3 linked regions of the Ovis aries genome follow. The protein of the gene in region 2 purifies or fractionates together with the protein of the main gene of each other region. This does not show direct contact. Links are inferred from orthologs where the notes say so. Each region holds a gene or a part of one and is shown on either strand. Other genes may lie near its edges.

The links. The genes of interacting proteins can lie anywhere in the genome.
Region 1: the proteins of STK25 (region 2) and PPP2R1B purify together in Homo sapiens (affinity purification with mass spectrometry; 3 studies listed by BioGRID and IntAct, with this or other methods). This does not show direct contact. The link is inferred for Ovis aries from reciprocal best matches to the Homo sapiens genes STK25 and PPP2R1B.
Region 3: the proteins of STK25 (region 2) and CAB39 purify together in Homo sapiens (co-immunoprecipitation; 3 studies listed by BioGRID and IntAct, counting the BioPlex papers as one, with this or other methods). This does not show direct contact. The link is inferred for Ovis aries from reciprocal best matches to the Homo sapiens genes STK25 and CAB39.

What each region holds. Positions count from the first base shown.
Region 1 is NC_056068.1:21,758,770-21,762,415, reverse strand, and holds part of PPP2R1B (serine/threonine-protein phosphatase 2A 65 kDa regulatory subunit A beta isoform), read left to right. Parts: intron 1-2,698; coding exon 2,699-2,853; intron 2,854-3,214; coding exon 3,215-3,357; intron 3,358-3,646. UniProt on the Homo sapiens protein: The PR65 subunit of protein phosphatase 2A serves as a scaffolding molecule to coordinate the assembly of the catalytic subunit and a variable regulatory B subunit.
Region 2 is NC_056054.1:366,058-369,803, reverse strand, and holds the start of STK25 (serine/threonine-protein kinase 25), read right to left. Parts: upstream 2,478-3,746; 5' UTR 2,413-2,477; exon of another isoform or gene 2,334-2,412; intron 1,968-2,333; 5' UTR 1,874-1,967; coding exon 1,844-1,873; intron 1-1,843. UniProt on the Homo sapiens protein: Oxidant stress-activated serine/threonine kinase that may play a role in the response to environmental stress.
Region 3 is NC_056055.1:232,626,365-232,630,010, reverse strand, and holds part of CAB39 (calcium-binding protein 39), read right to left. Parts: intron 2,703-3,646; coding exon 2,559-2,702; intron 1,709-2,558; coding exon 1,520-1,708; 3' UTR 1-1,519. UniProt on the Homo sapiens protein: Component of a complex that binds and activates STK11/LKB1. In the complex, required to stabilize the interaction between CAB39/MO25 (CAB39/MO25alpha or CAB39L/MO25beta) and STK11/LKB1.

The sequences.
Region 1 (3,646 bases), on a different chromosome or scaffold from region 2:
GTCCGACTCTTTGCGACTCCATGGACTGTAGCCTACTAGGCTCCTCCGTCCATGGAATTTTCCAGGCAAGACTACTGGAGTGGGTTGCCAGTTGGATCATATGGTTAAAAAAGTGAAGAGGAGAGGTGCAAAAAATGTAAATTTCTTAAAGACATGTAAATGTAGATAATCTCATTGTTTTCAAACTAGATTGCAAAGATTTTATTTCTCTTTTTCTTGTCCTCTAAAGTTGTCCCTGTATGGCTTCATTTTTTTTCTTCTTAAACGAAACTAAGGTTTGGTGAAATCATGGGAAAGATAGTCTTCTCTTTTTAGAAATAAAGTGTTCATATTATTTCTGATAAATATTAATGTTAGTGAGTCCCAGCAGATTGGTCCATACTTTCTTTGAAAGCTAGTATTCTACACTTAATTTTGAGATACTTTTAAAATCCTGTTGTTCCACAAATAATTGAATTCCTGACATCTTTTCTATATAGAATTCACCCGTCAATGCAGGTTAATTAATGCTTTCTTTTTTCTCTGATTTTTTGTCTTCTGGTTTAGGAGCAGAAGAGACCCTTGTGTCTTTTTCTGCAGCAGCATACTTAAGTGGCCTTTGCAAGCATTCTTTGAACCAATGAAATGTCAGCTCTGAAATTGTTCGAGGTTTTGTTTTTGCATTTTAGATAACTGCCATGTAGTGATCAGTGACCTGTTCAATTTTTAGAAACTTTTTTTGCTTATTAAAGTACTAAGAGGATATTGTGAAAAAGTACAGAGAACTAAAAGCAAGACGGTATCACTTACCCTCTTTTCCCATGGTTGAGTGGATAGTGTTGATCAGAGAGAGGAATTTAGAAGGGGAGTTTATTTTTTATACGAGGAAGGAAAAAGTACCAAAGTTAGAAATACACCACATATACACCACATATAGAGTGTTTTAGAAATTCAGAGGAACACCAGCCAGACCTTAAGGGGAGAGGAAGAAGAAGGAGGGAGAGAGACAAATCAAGCAGAGAGGAGAGGCAGAACCGTGGAGTGGTTTGTTTGCATTCTTTTCACAGCAAAACTGAGAGGAGCCAAGAACATAGTAGGCGTCTGGCCAAGCGGAGTTGAGTGCAGTTAAGGTCTGGGTCAAGGCCGAGCGCTAGTCTCTGGTTACTCTGGCAATGAGATCCCTTCCCTATGGCAATGGCATTAGGATGAGAAGAATCTCAAGCAAATAAACAACGAGGGGAGAAGACACAGATGGGAAGAAGTTGGTGGGGGACGGTGTGCTCAAAACAAAGACTGCTGGTGAAGGGAGGGAGTTTTTGTTAGAGTAGAACAGGTGACTTGAGCGTGTTCCTTCGAGAGTGCTGCTGAATATCCCTGCCAGGCTGCTTCTCCCATGCTCCGGTCAGGTTGCACGCTGCTAATAATCTAGCCCCTTGGCTCAGGTGTCTGGCCTGTTCTCACCAGTGGCGTCGCCTGAGAGGCTCTGTGGCCTGGGAAGAACCGGCCGTTTCCTGGCTGGGAGCCGTGTGTCAGTCTTCCGGGCTCAGAGCTGTGGCCTGGGTGCCTGTCACTCCCAGCTGTCAGCCGGGAGCGTTGGGCGCCCCTGGAGGGAGGAGTAGAAGAAGGAGTCGGCACTGACCTTTCACTTGTTACCTAAGGCCAAACTTTGAGTGTATTGGGCGTGTAAGATGAAGCGTTGCCGTACCTGTCTTTGTTGGCTGTTGTATGTAGTAACTAGTTGTTGAGAAGATGTGGCTCAGGCCTTTATTTAGATTTATGATGTCTTTGCTAAATGACCTTGTAGGGAATTACGATATTAAAGCAGGCACGTATATTCACAGAAGGCGTTTGACGTGTTGCCTCAACAGAAACGTTTTTAAGGGGAGAAAAGGCAAGTCAGTCTCAAGGTTTTATTTGCTGTTGTGTGGACGACGACAGTGGCCTCTGACTAGCCTCCTTGCTGCTGTTCTCAGCTGTTCTTGCTGCTGCTGAAATAATCTTGCTAAAATACCACATTGGTCATAGGGCCACATCTTTGCTTTAAAAACCCGCCACTGGTTTCCTTACAGTCTAAATTTAGCTTTCATGAAGCTCGGTCTGACTCCACCCTAACTGTTCAACCTTACAGTCTCACAGATTCCAGTTTTTCCTTTGTGCCCTGGGTAGCTTTTTTTGTCCTTTCTAGGAATTCGTCCCCTCTTCTCTCCACTTACACAAACCCTCCATGATCTTTAAGGCCCAGTGCAAGGCCTGTGTTTCCCACAGCCTTCCCAGACCTTCCTGCTCTCCATCCTCTAAACTCCTACGCCCTCAGGGTCCTTACTGTTGCATGCTTTATTATAATGCGTCCTAGACCCCATGATTTCTCAGAACGCATGATTTTTCATTTCTCTGCTTGAGTATGTGGTCTTTGGGGGCAAGTAACTTATGCATTCTTTCTGTGACACATAGCACATAGTTGGCACTCATATTTGCTAATTAATGATGCCTGTAATGAGCTCCTTACTTCCCTTTTCCTTGGACATTTTGAAACTATAGTCAGACCACATCAGCATATTAGAAGTCATAGCTGAGCATGCTTGCCATTGCAGTCTGACTAAATTTGGAGTGTTTACAGTTTTATTTTTGGCCCACCTTTGACGATGGCGTAAGGAAAAGTAAACCAGGTTACGCTCGTGATGTGAGCAGCATGCCAAAATCTTCTTCACCTCTTCTGCAGTGTATGCCATCCGGGAAGCTGCCACCAATAACCTCATGAAACTAGTTCAGAAGTTTGGTACAGAGTGGGCCCAAAATACCATCGTTCCCAAAGTGTTAGTAATGGCGAATGATCCTAATTACCTGCATAGAATGACCACTTTATTCTGCATTAATGTAAGTATTACATAGCTGTTTTGTTAAGCTCTGGTGTTAAACCAGTTATTCAGGACTATATTTCTGAATCCTGAATATGTTGTCCTCTGTTTGGACTATATTTCTTAATACTGATTAAGTTGGATATTTAGGAGATGAGAGAAAACTGTCAATTTTTCAATTGGTGTTAAACTCTACAGTCAAGTCAGTTTTGAATTCTGGTCTAATTCTGGGATTCTGTTCTACCTTGTATCTTTCATCACATGCTTACACTAGAAACATTTTCCTGGCAGCCAGTTACTTTCTTAGCTCTTTAGATTTGGGGATACTTTTTTTTTAAAAAAAGGTGTATTTTAATGTGCTGTCTTATTTCTTTTTCAAGGCACTGTCTGAAGCCTGTGGTCAGGAAATAACCACTAAGCAGATGCTGCCGATTGTATTGAAAATGGCAGGAGACCAAGTAGCAAATGTCCGTTTTAATGTGGCCAAATCTCTACAGAAAATTGGACCAATTCTAGATACCGAGTAAGATTTTTAATATTCTTTTTTAAAAAGTAGATTTAAGTTTTCACCCCATGCAGGCAGAAATAGCTATAATTAGATTTGGTGATTTTCACATCACCTAAGATGTGGGTTAGGTTAAAGAAAATAATAAAGTAATTCAATAACCAATTTTGAGGGTGTCTGTTTTATATTTAAGCTCTGTACATGTGTAGATCATTGTCCAAAGCTAATTCTGCAGAGACTTAGAGAAATTATTTAGTACTTGTCAAGTTAATATTATAGGTGTTTTAAAATATTAAAAAAATTTTAA
Region 2 (3,746 bases):
GTGGACAGAGGCCCCAGCAGCGCACCCTGGGACAGCCTGCTCACAGCCGCGCGGGGGAGAAGGGAGACAGGGCCGGGGCCGGGCTGCGGGGGCCCTTGTGAGAGCCGGGTCTGGACAGCCGCTCGGCCTGCTCGCTTGGCCCAGACCACCGGGCCCTGAACCTGCCCTGGGGCGGCCCGGTCTGCGGTCACCGCTCAGCCGCCTGCACATCCACTTAGCACCACGCCCGCCGCTGGCATCACCCCCCAAGTGAGGGCTGGCCAGCGGCCCCCATGCACCCCACGACAGGTGGCAGTCACTTGCACAGGGCGCTTCTACAGCTGCACAGGCCTGGGCAGGAGTCACAGCCCGGCGGGGGCCCAATGCCCAAGGTTCCCCCGCGGGGAGCAGGCCACCACCCCACGCACACAGGGACCGCCTCACAGGACCACGATGACAACCACCTCAAGGAAAACAACGTCCTGTCAGGCTTCCTGTCACCGACAAAGACCAAGCGTCTCCACCCCTGAAAGGACAAAAGGGGCTTCCTTCCTCTGGGGTCCCTTCCTCAGCTCCCCTGAGCCCCGCTCCGTCCCCGGGCAAGACGCAGCCACCCAAGCCCCGCTGCGAGCACCACCAGCACCCAGGTGAGGGGCCGCTCACAGCGCCACGTCCGCACACGGGGGGCCGTTCCTACAGCCCTTGACTTGGAGCCAGACTTCTCTGCCAGCATCTTAGTCCAGGGACTCGGAAGACGCACGTGTCCGAGGGAGCACGGGCCTGCAGCGGCCCACCTGCAGCATCAGCGCGGCGCCCTGGGGTTCTCCGAAGAGCCCAGGCATCTAGAGCCGACCTGACTCCAGCTCCTCCTCCCCCGCAAGGACACGCACTTTCTGTTCCTCCCAGGCTCCCAGTCCTCCCAAACTGGGCTGAACGGAGCGAGCCCGAGGGCTCAATTCTCTTCAAGAGGCGCTCCCACCACCTCGCAGCCGTCAGCCTAAACCGCACCCCAGCTGACCAGCTAAGAAGAGCAAAACCCAACAGCTGGGGTGAAGGACCACCGCACCAGCTGGGGCGCTTACTTCCCAGGAGCTTCCACTCACACCTGCCTTGCAGTAACAGAAAAGGGGGGGGAAGCGTGGCCCACAAGCCCTGGCGGCGGCTGCCCCAACCCGCCTAACTGTAGCCATCAGCCCCAGGGCACATTGTGGAGGGTCCCCTGGACTCAGGCAGTTAATGCACAGAGCCAGACCCCTCAAAGTGCTGTGGCGTTGGTAATTTCAAGAACCAACCAGCCAAAAAACAGTGGGCATCTCCCAGGCAGGCCCCTCGCAGCCCAGTGGCAGCCCTGTCCACCCAGCAAGAGAAACACACAGGCGCGTCCTCTGCCTTCCCTGCACACAGATACTCCCAGCCCCCCTCGTCCCCCTCAGGGCCGAGCAGGCCCGTCCCCCAAGCCAATGTGCTGGTGGACCCTGACCCTCCGCGGCCCTCCAGACGCACAGACCCAGTTCCTGGGGTTCAGCCCTGTAACAGCGTGGGTCTCTACATACCTCCGGCTGACCCTGCATTGAGGCTACACTTTGACAGGCTGGTGGGGGTCCTGCCCCACAGGACGCTGCCAACGGGCGGACCCCAGTCCGCCCTGCACCCACCAAATCTGAGCACCTGGCGACTGCTCCCGCTTTGCCCAGGGCTACGCATCACGGGCCTCCACCCCTCCTCCCACACGCGCCCTAAGAGGGGCTGCTCTTCTGACACCCCCGGACCACTTTTCAAAAGACAGTCTCCTTGGTGAAACGGCCTTTCTCGACCTCTGCAGCCGGCGCCCCGTCCCAGGCAGCGTGCAGACGCCCACCCTTACCTGGTTGGCAAATCCCCTGAGGTGAGCCATGGCTGCGCGGCCCTCAGACCATCCGCCGCGCCCCCGGGAGGCCCCGAGATCCCGCCTGGAGGCTCTGGAACCCGCTTCAGGCCGCTTCAGTCAACTGGAGGGAGAGCAGACCTGCTCGGGGGCCCTGTTCCGGGTACGCGGGGCTCCCCGCCCCCCGGGGCGCGGCGGCAGCCCCCTCCTCCAACCATCTGGGGACCAGCTGGAGAAGGGTCCCCCGAAGGGCTCCCGCCGCGCACCCTCCGCGCCCGACCCTGCCTCAGGCCTCCCCGGGGAGCCCCCCGACGCCGCGCACACCTCCCCGGCCCCCACCCCTCCCCAGACCCCGGCCCCCGGCCAGGGCCGCCCCTACCCGCCCCCGGGGCGCCTCGCCCCGCCTCACCCCCGGCCCCGCCCCGCGGCCGCGCCGCCCGGCCCCCTCCCCAACCGGCCCAGGCGCGGGCCAGCCCGGCGGCGCGCCCACCTCCGGGGGGCTCCATCCCGGCCTCCCCCGGCCCGCTCCGCAGTGCCCGCGAGGGCTCCCACCCACAGCCTCCACTCGCCCGCGGACGCCTGGGCCCTCAGCTCGCGAAGCAGCGGCAGTGGCGGCGGCGGCCGGAGAAAGCTCGGCGGCGGCGGCGGCGGCGGCGGCGGCGGCGGCGGCGGCGGCGGAGGCGAGGGCACGCGGCGTCGCGGCCCAGCACGGGGCATTCTGGGACAGCGAGTCGCTCGCTCGCCCCGCGCCGGGGCGCCCGCGGGCGCCGGACTGCAAATCCCGGCAGGCCACGGGCTGGAGCGCAGAGGAGGCCCGCAGGCGCGCCGCGGGGCGCGCTGGGACTCCGAGTCCGGCTTCCTGAGAGGCGCGGGCCTACGTCTCCCGGCAGGCCGCGGGGCGGGGCGGGGCCAGGCGGCGCCGGGGCGGGGCGGCCGCGGGTGGGGCCGCTCCGCCCTCCCGCCGCCTGGCCGCACCTGGGCGGACCTGGCCCGGGGCTCCGGCCGGGTCCTGCAGGCCTCACCCCTCCGGCTTCCGGGCTTGGGAGGGTGAACCGGGCCTGGAAGTGTCTTGGAATGTTATTAAGTCTGAAAAAGGAAGGCGCTTTTGACACAGGTCGGCCTGGGTAGACCTTGACGACGTGGCACTGAGTGACCGCAGCCAGACCCAGAAGGACAAACACGGTTCGCTTCCACTTGTATGAGGTCCCCGGAGTGGCCGGATTCATCGGCACAGAAAGGCGAAGTGTGAGTGTAGGGGGAAGGGGTGTCTAATGGGGACGGAGCCTCAGTCTCAGAAGATGACAAGAGATCTGGAGATTGGCTGCATAACCATGAGAATGTATTTCCCGCTGCTGAAATGTACAGTTCAGTTCACTTCAGTCGCTCAGTGTCCGACTCTGCGACCCCATGAATAGCAGCACACCAGGCCTCCCTGTCCATCACCACCTCCCCGAGTTCACTCAGACTCACGTCCATCCGGTCCGTGATGCCATCCAGCCATCTCATCCTCTGTCGTCCCCTTCTCCTCCTGCCCCCAATCCCTCCCAACACCAGAGTCTTTTCCAGTGAGTCAACTCTTCGCATGAGGTGGCCAAAGTACTGGAGTTTCAGCTTCAGCATCATTCCTTCCCAAGAAACCCCAGGGTTGATCTCCTTCAGAATGGACTGGTTGGATCTCCTTGCAGTCCCAGGGACAGTTAGGATGGTAAATTTTATGTGATCTGTTCCATTCAATTCAGTCACTCAGTTGTGTCTGACTCTCTGCGACCCCATGGACTGCAGCACACCAGGCCTCCCTGTCCATTGCCAACTCCTGGAGTTTACCCAAACTCATGTCCATTGAGTTTGTGATACCATCCAACCATCTCATCCCTTGTTGTCCCCTTGTCCTCCTGCCTTCAAT
Region 3 (3,646 bases), on a different chromosome or scaffold from region 2:
AAATTTCTTAATCAGCTACAGCCATGCTGAATTCGAACCGGCAAACTCTGACTTGTGAGTTGTTAGTTGTGGTCTCCATGTCACTAAGATGGACAGACACCACTCTAATAGCTTTACACAGATGCATTCTAGGAGACGTTGTTCTGCTGTGGTCACAGTAACAAAGAAGTGGTGCAGAATCAGTTACTTTATAAATACTGATAATTTGCAGCATTAAGGAACAGGACATTAAAAAAAATACATTTCCCCATAGGACACCTATGACTAGGAACTCTTCTTTTCCTAAAAGAAGCCAAAGTTTTAATTATTCAGTTTCACAACTATTGTACTGGATTACTTACTCTAAGAAAGAAAAGGTGCTCTAAAGAGGTCTCCCCACACACAAAGAATCAGCATTAATTTAGCATAATTGGTATCATTCGTAGATCTGGAGAACTCTTGACTCATTTTAAATGAATAAGGCCAATATTACGCAGGAAAAAGTGTAGCTGAGTTCCAGGTCTGTACTGTAGTCTATTGATGGCACCCCATTAGATAACTGAATACAAAGGACTGGTTTACTTCGTTTTCTTTTAATGCTGTGATACTTAAATGTTAAATCAGCATTTTCAGGTGATCTGAAGTATTTCAATTACATATGAGCATTCATTTTTTGCAAAAACTCAATATTAGGTAATAGTTACATACTAATACAATAACATTCCTCTGCTGTACAAATTAAATCATTTAAAAGAAATGAGCATTCTAAGAATTATATACAAAAGAAACCTGTAAGCACTGTTGAAATGAAATGCGAGGTGTCGTTGCTAGCTCTACTGTTTTAAAATACCTTCAAAAAGTAAAATTAACAAATACCCTTCAACATATCCAGGTTTACAAGTCTCAAGAAAATCAAATGTCAAAAAATTCCAGAAAGCTGTGAAAAGCATATATACATTTTCCTTATGACCTTATGAAGCTTCACACTTTTCAGAAGTTGCTAAGTTTCAGTATCAATTTATTCGTGTGTCAACTTTATCCACTCAAGGAGCTCCCATCTTGGATACAGTTCCCCTAGGATTTCAAATAAAGCTCTGCACGATCTTCCACGAGTGAAGGCATACAATCTTACTCAGAATCCACACTCAGATCTTTAACAAAGATAAACACAAACAGGCAGGTTTACTCTGATCAGATCAATGCGCTCTTCCCCTAACACACACTATCATCTATGCATTTGCCTTCAAGGAACCTAGCCATGTTCAGAACTTCTACAGCAAACGGAGTCTTTAAATTCTGAAATGACACAAAGATCAAGAAAAAGTCCACGTGTGCTCTAGTGTGCAAGAAAGCAGCAGCTACGTTCTCCAACTTGGACTAAAAAAACAAACAAAAAAAATCAAAAAAGGTAAAATGAAAACCGTTCATATAACAGCAGATTAGCAGTAATGTTCCTCATGAACTGATAACAGTGCCTGATGCTGAAGAGCGAACAGCAGACGCTGAACTTGGATTTAATATTTTCGGTGTTTATTGGAAATCAGGCTTCTTGCTGAGCTGGTCTCTTCAAATCCCTGATCTGTTTGACTAAATACGTCTTCTCATCATTGAACTGCTCGTCCTCGGTCCTGTCATTCTGGAACTTGCTGAGGAACTCTATGAGCTTGGCTTGGTTCTTGAGGAGGATGTCGAGGATGGGCTGCGTCTTGTTGGGGTTGGCTACGAACACCTGCACAAGGAGAGATCAACGTCAGCTACAGGAAGGACAGTGCGCGGTGTGGAGACGCTGCAGACAGCAGAGCACGTGTGGCCACGCCCACTGCTCCCCGGGGCACGGGCTGCAGTCCAGATTGCTCATTCGGGTGTCTGCTTTGGAAGACCTTACTTTTACAATTAAAAAAGGAGGGAAGAAGTGCATGTTTAAGCACAAAAAGGACCGACATGTTCACTCATGCTCTGAAACTCTGTAGTTTGTATTAAATACAGACTTTGATTTTAGAATAAAATGGGCAGAAGTTAGTTCTGGGCACAGGAGGTCAGAATGGATTTTAAGAACAAAAATCTCCATGGAAAGCATTAAGAAATGCATTTCCCTTTACTTTGGGATTAGTAATTTTCCACGCCAAAGACCACCTGATGCGAAGAGCTGACTCATTGGAAAAGACCCTGATGCTGGCAAAGACTGAAGGCGGGAGGAGAAGGGGACAACAGAAGATGAGATGGCTGGATGGCATCACTGACTCGATGGACATGAGTTTGAGCAAGCTCCGGGAGTTGGTGATGGACAGGGAAGCCTGGTGTGCTGCAGTCCATGGGGTGGCAAAGAATCAGACACAACTGAGTGACTGAACTGAACTGATGCCAAAGACGGGTGACACTCCTCTACAAATCAACTTTTCTTATTCCCAAATGCAAATGCCCTGTTTCCGGGTCCATTTTTGTTTAAATGTTGTACCACACAACTGTGAAAATGGACTGAATGACTGTGTCACTCAGATTACCAAAATGAAGCTAATAAAACAAGTAACTTGCAAATAAAATGGGATGAACAACTAGTGTTTATGGTCTTAGCACTCTACCTTAAAAACGTGGAAGGCCTCAAACTGGATGTTACGGCTTTTGTCTCGTAGAAGGTTCATCATTAATTTGAGGTTCTCAGGTTTACTGATGTATTTTGTCATAATCGTGAAGTTGTGTCTGTCTAGTAGCAGTTCCCCCAGAAGCTGAGAAGACAAACAATTTATCCGTTTATTCCACCATTATCATTTAAGATTTGAAGTAAAACTAAAGTTTTAAAAACAGTTCATTAAATATTATTAAGCACAGAATATTAATAGGCACTGAAAAGATGGATGAACTGAATTATGACCTGAAAGCTAATGAGCACTTCCTGTTTGCTACTTGGACACCTCCTTTTTCTTCTGGGGTTTACACCTATGGTGGGTCTGGCACTGCTCCCTGAAGAAGACCACATTCAAGCCACATCTGGCTCAGAATCTGAGACTTATCAGAACCTGTTCTTTAAATATGCGTTTGTGTTATCTCAGTAAAAAGAAACCACCAAAGAAAGTGGTCAGAAGATAAGTTACTGGATAACTATAAACCTTAGCTATATTTAAAAATAATTTTACGTATCTGAACTTTATGGGACAAAGGGTTTCATGCACACAGCTTTCTATACACGTCAAACATCGTTTTATCTTATCAGATTAAAAAAGCTTCATAAAAACGAGTACTTTTCTGGTCCTTCTTAAGCAAGGTATCCTGAAGATACTCTAAGCTTCTCTTAGTGACACCACAATATCACTAATGAAGTTAATTAAGCTAAAAAAAAAAAAAAATCTGTCGCTTCAGTTAAGTCTGTGCTTACTGAGTTCTATGAGTTGATTGTGCCACATCAGCTCTTAATTTTAAAATCAAACCTGCTTGTTCTAGATTTCTTCTTCTGAAACTCGCGGTCACCTCTTCATGTTGTCATGGTGCCAACTTCCTGTCAAGGACTAGTGTGCAGGTGGCATGGCCTGCATGGGGGCACGGGCCAGAGGCACAACAGAGTGGCGTCCAGCCTGGCTCCCGGCACCAGCCTGCCTGGGCTCAAATCCTGACACTCTGCTCCTTGTGAGCTCTATATCCTTGAGCATATTATTTAACTTCTCTGTGCTTCAGT